Nothobranchius furzeri: one gene and its partner. The protein of the gene in region 1 interacts with the protein of each later gene in a pairwise test. Links are inferred from orthologs where the notes say so. Each region holds a gene or a part of one and is shown on either strand. Other genes may lie near its edges.

Evidence for each region.
Region 2: the proteins of pfdn5 (region 1) and pfdn2 interact in binary tests that used the Homo sapiens proteins (3 or more experiments, as listed by UniProt). The link is inferred for Nothobranchius furzeri from reciprocal best matches to the Homo sapiens genes PFDN5 and PFDN2.

Annotation. Positions count from the first base shown.
Region 1 is NC_091743.1:50,185,862-50,189,790, reverse strand, and holds the start of pfdn5 (prefoldin subunit 5), read left to right. Parts: upstream 1-1,107; 5' UTR 1,108-1,122; coding exon 1,123-1,296; intron 1,297-1,491; coding exon 1,492-1,594; intron 1,595-2,138; coding exon 2,139-2,170; intron 2,171-2,452; coding exon 2,453-2,527; intron 2,528-2,616; coding exon 2,617-2,722; intron 2,723-3,929. UniProt on the Homo sapiens protein: Binds specifically to cytosolic chaperonin (c-CPN) and transfers target proteins to it. Binds to nascent polypeptide chain and promotes folding in an environment in which there are many competing pathways for nonnative proteins.
Region 2 is NC_091742.1:74,821,126-74,825,054, reverse strand, and holds pfdn2 (prefoldin subunit 2), read right to left. Parts: upstream 2,852-3,929; 5' UTR 2,630-2,851; coding exon 2,549-2,629; intron 1,705-2,548; coding exon 1,616-1,704; intron 1,498-1,615; coding exon 1,374-1,497; intron 1,146-1,373; coding exon 954-1,145; 3' UTR 671-953; downstream 1-670. UniProt on the Homo sapiens protein: Binds specifically to cytosolic chaperonin (c-CPN) and transfers target proteins to it. Binds to nascent polypeptide chain and promotes folding in an environment in which there are many competing pathways for nonnative proteins.

The DNA of each region.
Region 1 (3,929 bases):
AAACCTGCTAAATTCCTTCCAGAATCTTTGTGTAAAAGAACAGCACCAAAAAAGATGTGTCACAGTTTCTGGATGATCCCCACAGAAAGTACAATTAGTATTTATGTCCCTTAGTTTTGAGTTTTAACCACAGTGACACAAGTGAACGTGAACTTTCTGTTGTGCAAATGTCGTCCTCCTGTGGCTGTTTGGTGGCACTACATCTGGTTAGCAATGGCTTCACAAATTTTTCCATTAGTTGCTAAAAAATGAAGAAAACGGAACATCTGTGATATGAAAGGAATCAAAATAAAAAACATGACTCAGTAAAAGTATAGATATGCAGCTCATGTTTGAAAGGTTTTGTGTTTTATGACTCAAGTTGATTAAATTTGGTTGTTTTAAAATATCACAAATCAATTTGTATATTTAAATATATACATATTAAACATAGATAAGCAGGTTTTCTTAAGGATTGAAAAAAAATTGTGTTCTAATGAAAAAGACCCAGTTCATCTACCTGGTGTGAAAATGATGACATTGACGGTGTATCTTTCTTTTTTTTAGATCACAGATGCTCGAACAAAAATTATGATTTTATTCAATTACTTCGATAGAAGGAATTTTCATTTAAATAAAATGTAGCAATTAACACATATTAATTATGACCAATAAGATGTGATATTCCATACAAATATGAAATATCAATCTGATTGATCTTTGAATGTTTAATCAGAAGATTCTAGGGTCCTTTGCTTATTCAGGGACCAAAAACACACCTCGTATAAATTCAGAGTCAGTGTATAGTTTATAAAATGAATTTTATTATTGCATTCATTATTAGGGGAATATTTCATATAAACTCCCATAAACAGAATATGTTGCCACCAAGTCAAATTACCGATTACAAATAACTGTATATTAAAAGTTTATTTAGACAAAAAAAAGTTAAAAACAACTGCATTTGTTGTTATTTTTGTGAATTTGGTTGACTTTTATTTTTATTTAATAACTTAAACATTTACTGCTACATCAAAATGCATTACTTATTTTTGAAACAAAAATGTGTATCCTTTAAAAATAAAACGTCTGTAAAAGGATGAAAGAGATGGCCATAGAGGTACATTTCTTTCCGGTTGCGTCATGGACAAATTTACATTTGTCCACATGGGGGCGGTAATGAGACCGTATTCCATCGTATTAGGCGGAAGCAGAACTGCGTCAGTGCAGGTTGGTCATCACGCTTTCAACATGGCGGTGAATCTTTCAGACCTCTCCATGCCTCAGTTAGAAGGATTAAAAACCCAACTGGATCAGGTATTATCATCAGTAACATGCTGTATTGGAAGTATTTGTATTTATGTAGCTAAATGCACGAGGTATTGTTAAATAGGAGACCGATGCGGGCTAAACACCCCCGTTAGCGTTCTGTGCCGTAGACAACCGGTGGTGTTGCTAACGGTGTTTCTGTCCCGGGTTGAATCTTTTTGTACATTTTGATGTTTCTTTCAGGAGGTTGAGTTCTTGACGTCTTCGATAAGTCAGTTGAAAGTTGTCCAGGCCAAGTATGTTGACGCGAAAGACAGCTTGAATGTACTGAACCAAAACAATAAAGGTGCGTTTTTAAATCACAATCTGACACAAACTGTTGGCTCCCGAAATGTTTATCCATACCTCTCACAAGAACTACTACTATAAAAGAATGACATTTAAAACAATCGGTACGATTATGATTTTTCATTGTGGTCTGGTGATATGTAGAGTTTAAAAAGTAATTCAATTCAGTTTAATAATACTTTATTAATCCCAGAGGGAAATTAGAGTTTCAGTACACACAATTCTGAGATCAGACATACATACATACATACATGACAAGAATTGGTCGCACAAGAGGGTTTATATGAGGAGATATGCACACAGACTTCAGACATTACACAACATAAGTGTCCACTAGGTGGGGAGGTAGGGTTGGGACTTTCCTCAGGTGCGTGCAGCCGCATGGGGGACAGAGGAGGGACATTAATGGGTTGGAGAGCACAGTGACTCCTAGAAATGGTTCCTTCACTGTGCCTTCACCTGTCAGTCCCGCCCAGGCTGGGAGAGGGAGAAAGAGTTGCCTATTTATTTGGATTGTGACCCATTTCTTTTCTCACAAACAGGAAAGGAATTGCTGGTGCCTCTTACAAGCTCTGTATCCTTTTTAAATTATCCAACATTCATTTTATTTAACCACTGGCATAAAATACATATATGAAACATCCAGGTGAAAGGAGCTGTAAGGTTTTGTCCATCGTTGTGTTATTTACTATCTTCCATCTACTTTCGGTTTCTTTTTTCTAACTTGAAACAGTTCTTCAGCAACACGTTGTTTAACATCTTTACACATTAAAATCATACATTTATTCACACAACTTAGCATCTTAGTGAAGGTGGATTCTTTTAGCATGTTTGTCCTTTACAGTTTTCTCTTCAGATGTATGTCCCTGGAACATTAAGTGATGTGGAACATGTCCTAGTTGACGTGGGGACAGGATATTATGTTGAAAAGGTAATATATATTTAGATATATATTATAAATAAATAAAACAGATTTTAATTAAGAAGAAGCTATTTAAACATGCGTGTTTGCTTCTTTAGAACGTGGAGGACTCAAAAGCTTTCTTTAAGCGCAAAATAGACTTTCTCACAAAGCAGATGGAGAAAATTCAGCCGGCTCTTCAGGAAAAGCATGCTGTGAAACAAGGTAAGGTTAATTGTGTGAATTTGACATTTAAAATCTTTTTTTTTCAGCATTTATAGATGTTCTGCAATCTGTTAGCTCTTTGATTATGTATTGGGAATTAATTGCTGTCAACTACTAACATTTTAATTGATCTCAATAGCTGTAAACCGACTGAGTTATATAGTCAGTTTTGTGTTTGCTATTGTTTATTAGCTGTGGTGTCAGTTGAATCAGAATGTTAAACAGTTTGAGACACATGTACGTTGATTATGTTTTATGAATTCTGTGAAGATCTGATTGTTTAAGAATTTGCGAACAGATGTGAAAACACATGTTTGATAAAAGATAAAAGGGTCAGTGTGTAGTTTTTAATCGTTAATCTCTGGAAATATCCTTCAAAATTAAGCTATTTATAAAACCAGATAACGTATATAATTTCAGATACAAACGTAACTTTAGGCATACATATTTTAGAACAACATTAAAGTCATTTTGTATTTCTGTTACGGGTGTAAGAGTTTGGAATAAGCTAAGTGGGGATCTAAAGCAAAGTCCCTCATTGCATACGTTTAAAGATAAGTATAAAACAATTATACTAACTAATCACATGGAGGAGGAGGAAAAGTTGTAAGGGTGCTGCATTTGATTGTAATTGTCTATGAACTGGGAGCTGTGAATATGGGGGGGGGGGGGGGGGGGAAACATAAAAAATGTAAATTTTGCTTGTGTGATTGAGGATAAAACATGTTATAAGAAAATGGCTATGACAGTGTAGGGAAGAGAATTTTTTTGTTTTTATCTTCCTTGAAATTTGATTTTGGGAGGGGGGGGGGGGGTGATTATACAAGCTACCAGAGCTTTTTTCCCTTCCTATTGAACATGTTTCTATATATATATATATATATATATATGCATATACATATGTATGGGTTCCTTTTTGAATACTTTAATTTGTCTATTGATTTACATGTTCAATAAAGAAAGAAATGAAAAAATGTTGACAATGACAAAGTAAATGATACCCAGTAGTTGATTAATATTGGTGGCTTCTCAACATATAACCATATAAATCTGGGGCCGGGCCTAAGTCTCTGGGCGACACCATATTAGATGCCATGTTTCCTTCTACGGGAGCCCTTAAGGACAAAATGCAATTACTGATTTGTAATAAACGATTACAAAATTTTCACCATTCATAAACATTGTTTTACACATTTACCTCTTCACT
Region 2 (3,929 bases), on another chromosome or scaffold:
AACGAAAAGTAAGAAAATTTTAATGTCTTTCATTTAAATAAACCCATGTTTGGGCTTCTCCTGTTCGTTTTTTAGACATTTTAACAAATTTCAATATGCCTTTGTTTTGAAAAAACAGTTAAAATGGTGATAAAAATTTTTGTTGATCACTTTTGGATTCAAATTTTTTTTTCTAGAATGGTTCGTTTGAAATAAGTCTGAAAACACGTTTCAGAGACTGGCTTTTACTTTGAAAGCGTTCATAAGCACTATTTCCGTAAAGCTTTGGAAGTGTGTGCAGTGTAAAAACCGAGTGAGAGCTCACTGTACTGTCGAGTTGAGGCAGGCTCTGCCGCAATGACATAATCTGGTGAGCATGAGAAACCTCTTCCTTTTCTCCATTTTTCCTTTTGTGTACTGGCTCCTGTTCATGAGTCACGTTTAATTATTTGTTGTTTTTCAGTCCTTTACATCCTTTTCGCAAAAATGTACATCATTTTTAAAGCTTTGTGCGTTTTCAAAGCTGACATACCAATAAATTTCGATTGTGTATGCTTAATGACAATGCAAAAGGATCTAATTCTGACATTAACTTTTTTTTAATGTCTTTAAAAATTTCATCCCAGTGCAACAGGATTTATATGCTAGATGAGAAAGATAAATGTTTTTACTTATGTCAGCAACTTCAAAATCCTTTTTATGGCATTTTAATTTATTTGCTGAATGTATGACAGCATTTTAAAAAACATCTGCAAGGCAAATGACCTTAATGAGGACATAAACAACTGAACAGAGAAGCAGATGACCATGATTATTACAACTTCCAGGAAATTACAGTTAAACAAGAAAACTAAAAGGAACATTATGAAAAGTTCAGTTTTCCACCTAAATTCCTTGACTTGAGCTAGTTTTCATTTCTTCTTCAGTGCTGCAGAAATAACAGGGCACTGCTGTCCCTGTCCATCCTCAAAGCATTATGAGACCAGAACTCCTGCTCCACTTTTGGATCCTCCTCCTTCATTGTCTTGCGAGTTTGCTGCCGACTGGCCCTGCGCCTCTCCTTCACCCTCTCCAACCAGCCGGATATTGTAACGTTCTCTGTACTCTGTGAGCTCCTGTCCTTTTGCCTGCATCTGTGTGTTGATGGTCTCGATTATTTTGGAAATCTATTAGAACAGAGGAAGATGGATGAGAAATCAGACAAACGAAACATCCTGCAGTTGACACCTAAACGTTTATTTTTGACTTCAAAACCTATAAACAAAACTCTTTCTTGTGAAATTATGTAGATTAACTCGATGTACACTTATTGTTATTTTGGTGTTAAATAAGTGATTTAAAATGTCTCAGTTTATTCTCCTGATCATTCCTGTGACCGAAATAAATAACATTACCTTTTCTTTGTTGTTTTCTAAGGCTGGTAGAACTTCTTTTACTGTCCTTTCCACCAACACTCCTCCAACCAGACGAAAGCATTTCCTGGAAGGATCCACTTCCTTTAGGGTCTCAATTACTAAACTAAATATGAAAAGAAATAGCAAAGGTATTAAACGGTCTGTCTTTTGGATTGTTTCCCCTACAAAATCTTGTGAAACATTTGTGTCTAGAACATAAATGTAGATGATGCTCCACCAACCTGTGCTCGTTGACATCCATCTCCAGCTCAGCAGCTTTCGAAGCCATACTACGCTGCTCCTGACGCATCCTCTGAAATGTTGCTACCACCTGAAAACAAATGGAATTTGATCATTTTTTTATTAAGTATAATAAATAAATAAAAAACAGATGCTGCTACTCCTTAGTTGTCTACTGAAACCAAACTCTTAAAGTCATAACTGGTAATTAGCATATTACAATTTTGTTTAAAAGATTATTAAATAAATGTACATAATGCAGCAACTCATTAATGGTAAAGGTTTAATTTTATTATCAGATTTAATCTACAACTTTTTAGAAGTAGTGGACATAAACTTTGTTTATTTGATGGTTTTAATCACCATTTACGCAGAGTCATAGACTTTATATGTAAGAAAATAACAAAAAGGTTATGATACAATATGGCAATATTTACATTTTATTATTATTTTTGTAAAACCTGATCAATAAAGGTTTTGACACATATTTGAAGGTATTGCTCGACTCTAATGTTGCCATTATTGTTGTTAAAGGATATATTACGGACTACAGTGCACTGTATTACAGACATTACAGCAGTGATTTGTTTAATATGGTCTGAGTAATAATTTATTAGGGTTAGGTGGACAAAAATAGCTTTATGCTTAGTCACACCAAACCAAACACATTATTTCAAAACCGTAAATACATAGACTAACGTAAAAATTGTTAGAAGTAAGAGTTTGATGTAAACTCTCATAATGTCCTTATTAGACTCCTAACGGTTCCCGATGTCCAAATTTGGGTTTTGAGCCAGATGATCGCGACAGGAATGCTAATGTTAGCTTAGACTAGCTAGGGGCTATACTTTTAGTTCTGCTTTACCAAACTGAGCCAAACAACAACAGAAATAATTGTAACGACAAATGAAACCTTTTTATATAATTGAGAGTACCTGTTCAGCTGAAAGTCCGGACTGTTTTCCGCCGGCGCTGCTGCTGGACTTGCTACCCGTGCTGCTACCGTTCGCTGCCATCTTGGAAGGGTGTTGCCAATTAGGACCCTGCAGCTATCTAATGAGATTGCCTGAGTGCAAATGCGGCTTGTAAAACATCTAAATTACTTTGCAACCATCTTTTACTTTTTCATGTAAAAACTCAGAAGCAGAACCGCAAACAAAATACAACTTAATTCAACATAAAATAAAATGGCATTTGAAGGAATAATTTCTATTAACTTCCATCAACTTTGTATTGTTTTTGTTTTTTCGTGCATACGCTTTTTTATTTTATGTTTATGTTTATTTATTTGGCAGAGGCTTTTATCCAAAGTGACTTGCAATTTATAACGTATGGGGCATGTTTTGATCTGTGGGGGAAACAGGAGTACCCGGAGGAAACCCACGCATGAATGGGGAGAACACGCAACACGCAGAAAGGCCGCAGCCGAGTTTCGAACCTGCAACCTTCGTGCTGCGAGGCAACAGTGCTAACAACTGCGCCACCATGCAGCCCATTTTCCGAATCTAGCTTATTTATTAAAGCAGTTTCTGCATCGTGGAGTTTTAGACGTGTTTTTTCTCTTTCAAATATTCTTTATTTCAGCCAAAGGACATATTAATCATTAAATTAATTAATTTGCACACCGCCAAGACAAGACAAGACAGCTTTATTTGTATAGCACATTTCCTATACAAAGGTAACTTAATGTGCTTTACAGCAGCCTATAGGTAACATCAAAAGCAAAACAAAAATGAACAAAAATAACAAAAGTTTTCATGTTAGACAATAATCAGAAGCACACCGTACATAAATTAAAATCAATAATTAAAAACAAATGAAGAAATACATGTAAATTTTTAATACAAAAATACACTTAAATGCATTTATCGACATTTTTTTATTTTTATAATTCAAACGCTGTAAAGGACTGCTGAAAGCGGATTAACCTCATACAGACCTCTAGATTTTTATTTGCTCTGGGGTTTTCAGAAGATTGAACACATTAAATGTGTTGTTTGAATTTGTTTTCAAAAGCAACAATGCATGGTTTAGTGCACCTGAACTTAAATTTATTAATGTAAAACTTTGCCATAATAATCAGAATGATTACGAAAAGAGTTGTAATTGAGAAACACACAATATTATTGTCAATATGTCTTCAAAGTTGACTGAAATGCGACGTATACGTGCTGTTTATATCTTATTAGTGAACTAGACCAAACGTTTGCTTTGCAAAATAATATATTTATTCAGTCTGGTTTAAGGGTATTTTTGATAGTTATTTATAAACCTGTGTTATATTTGAATGATTATGATGCATTTATAATACTTTAA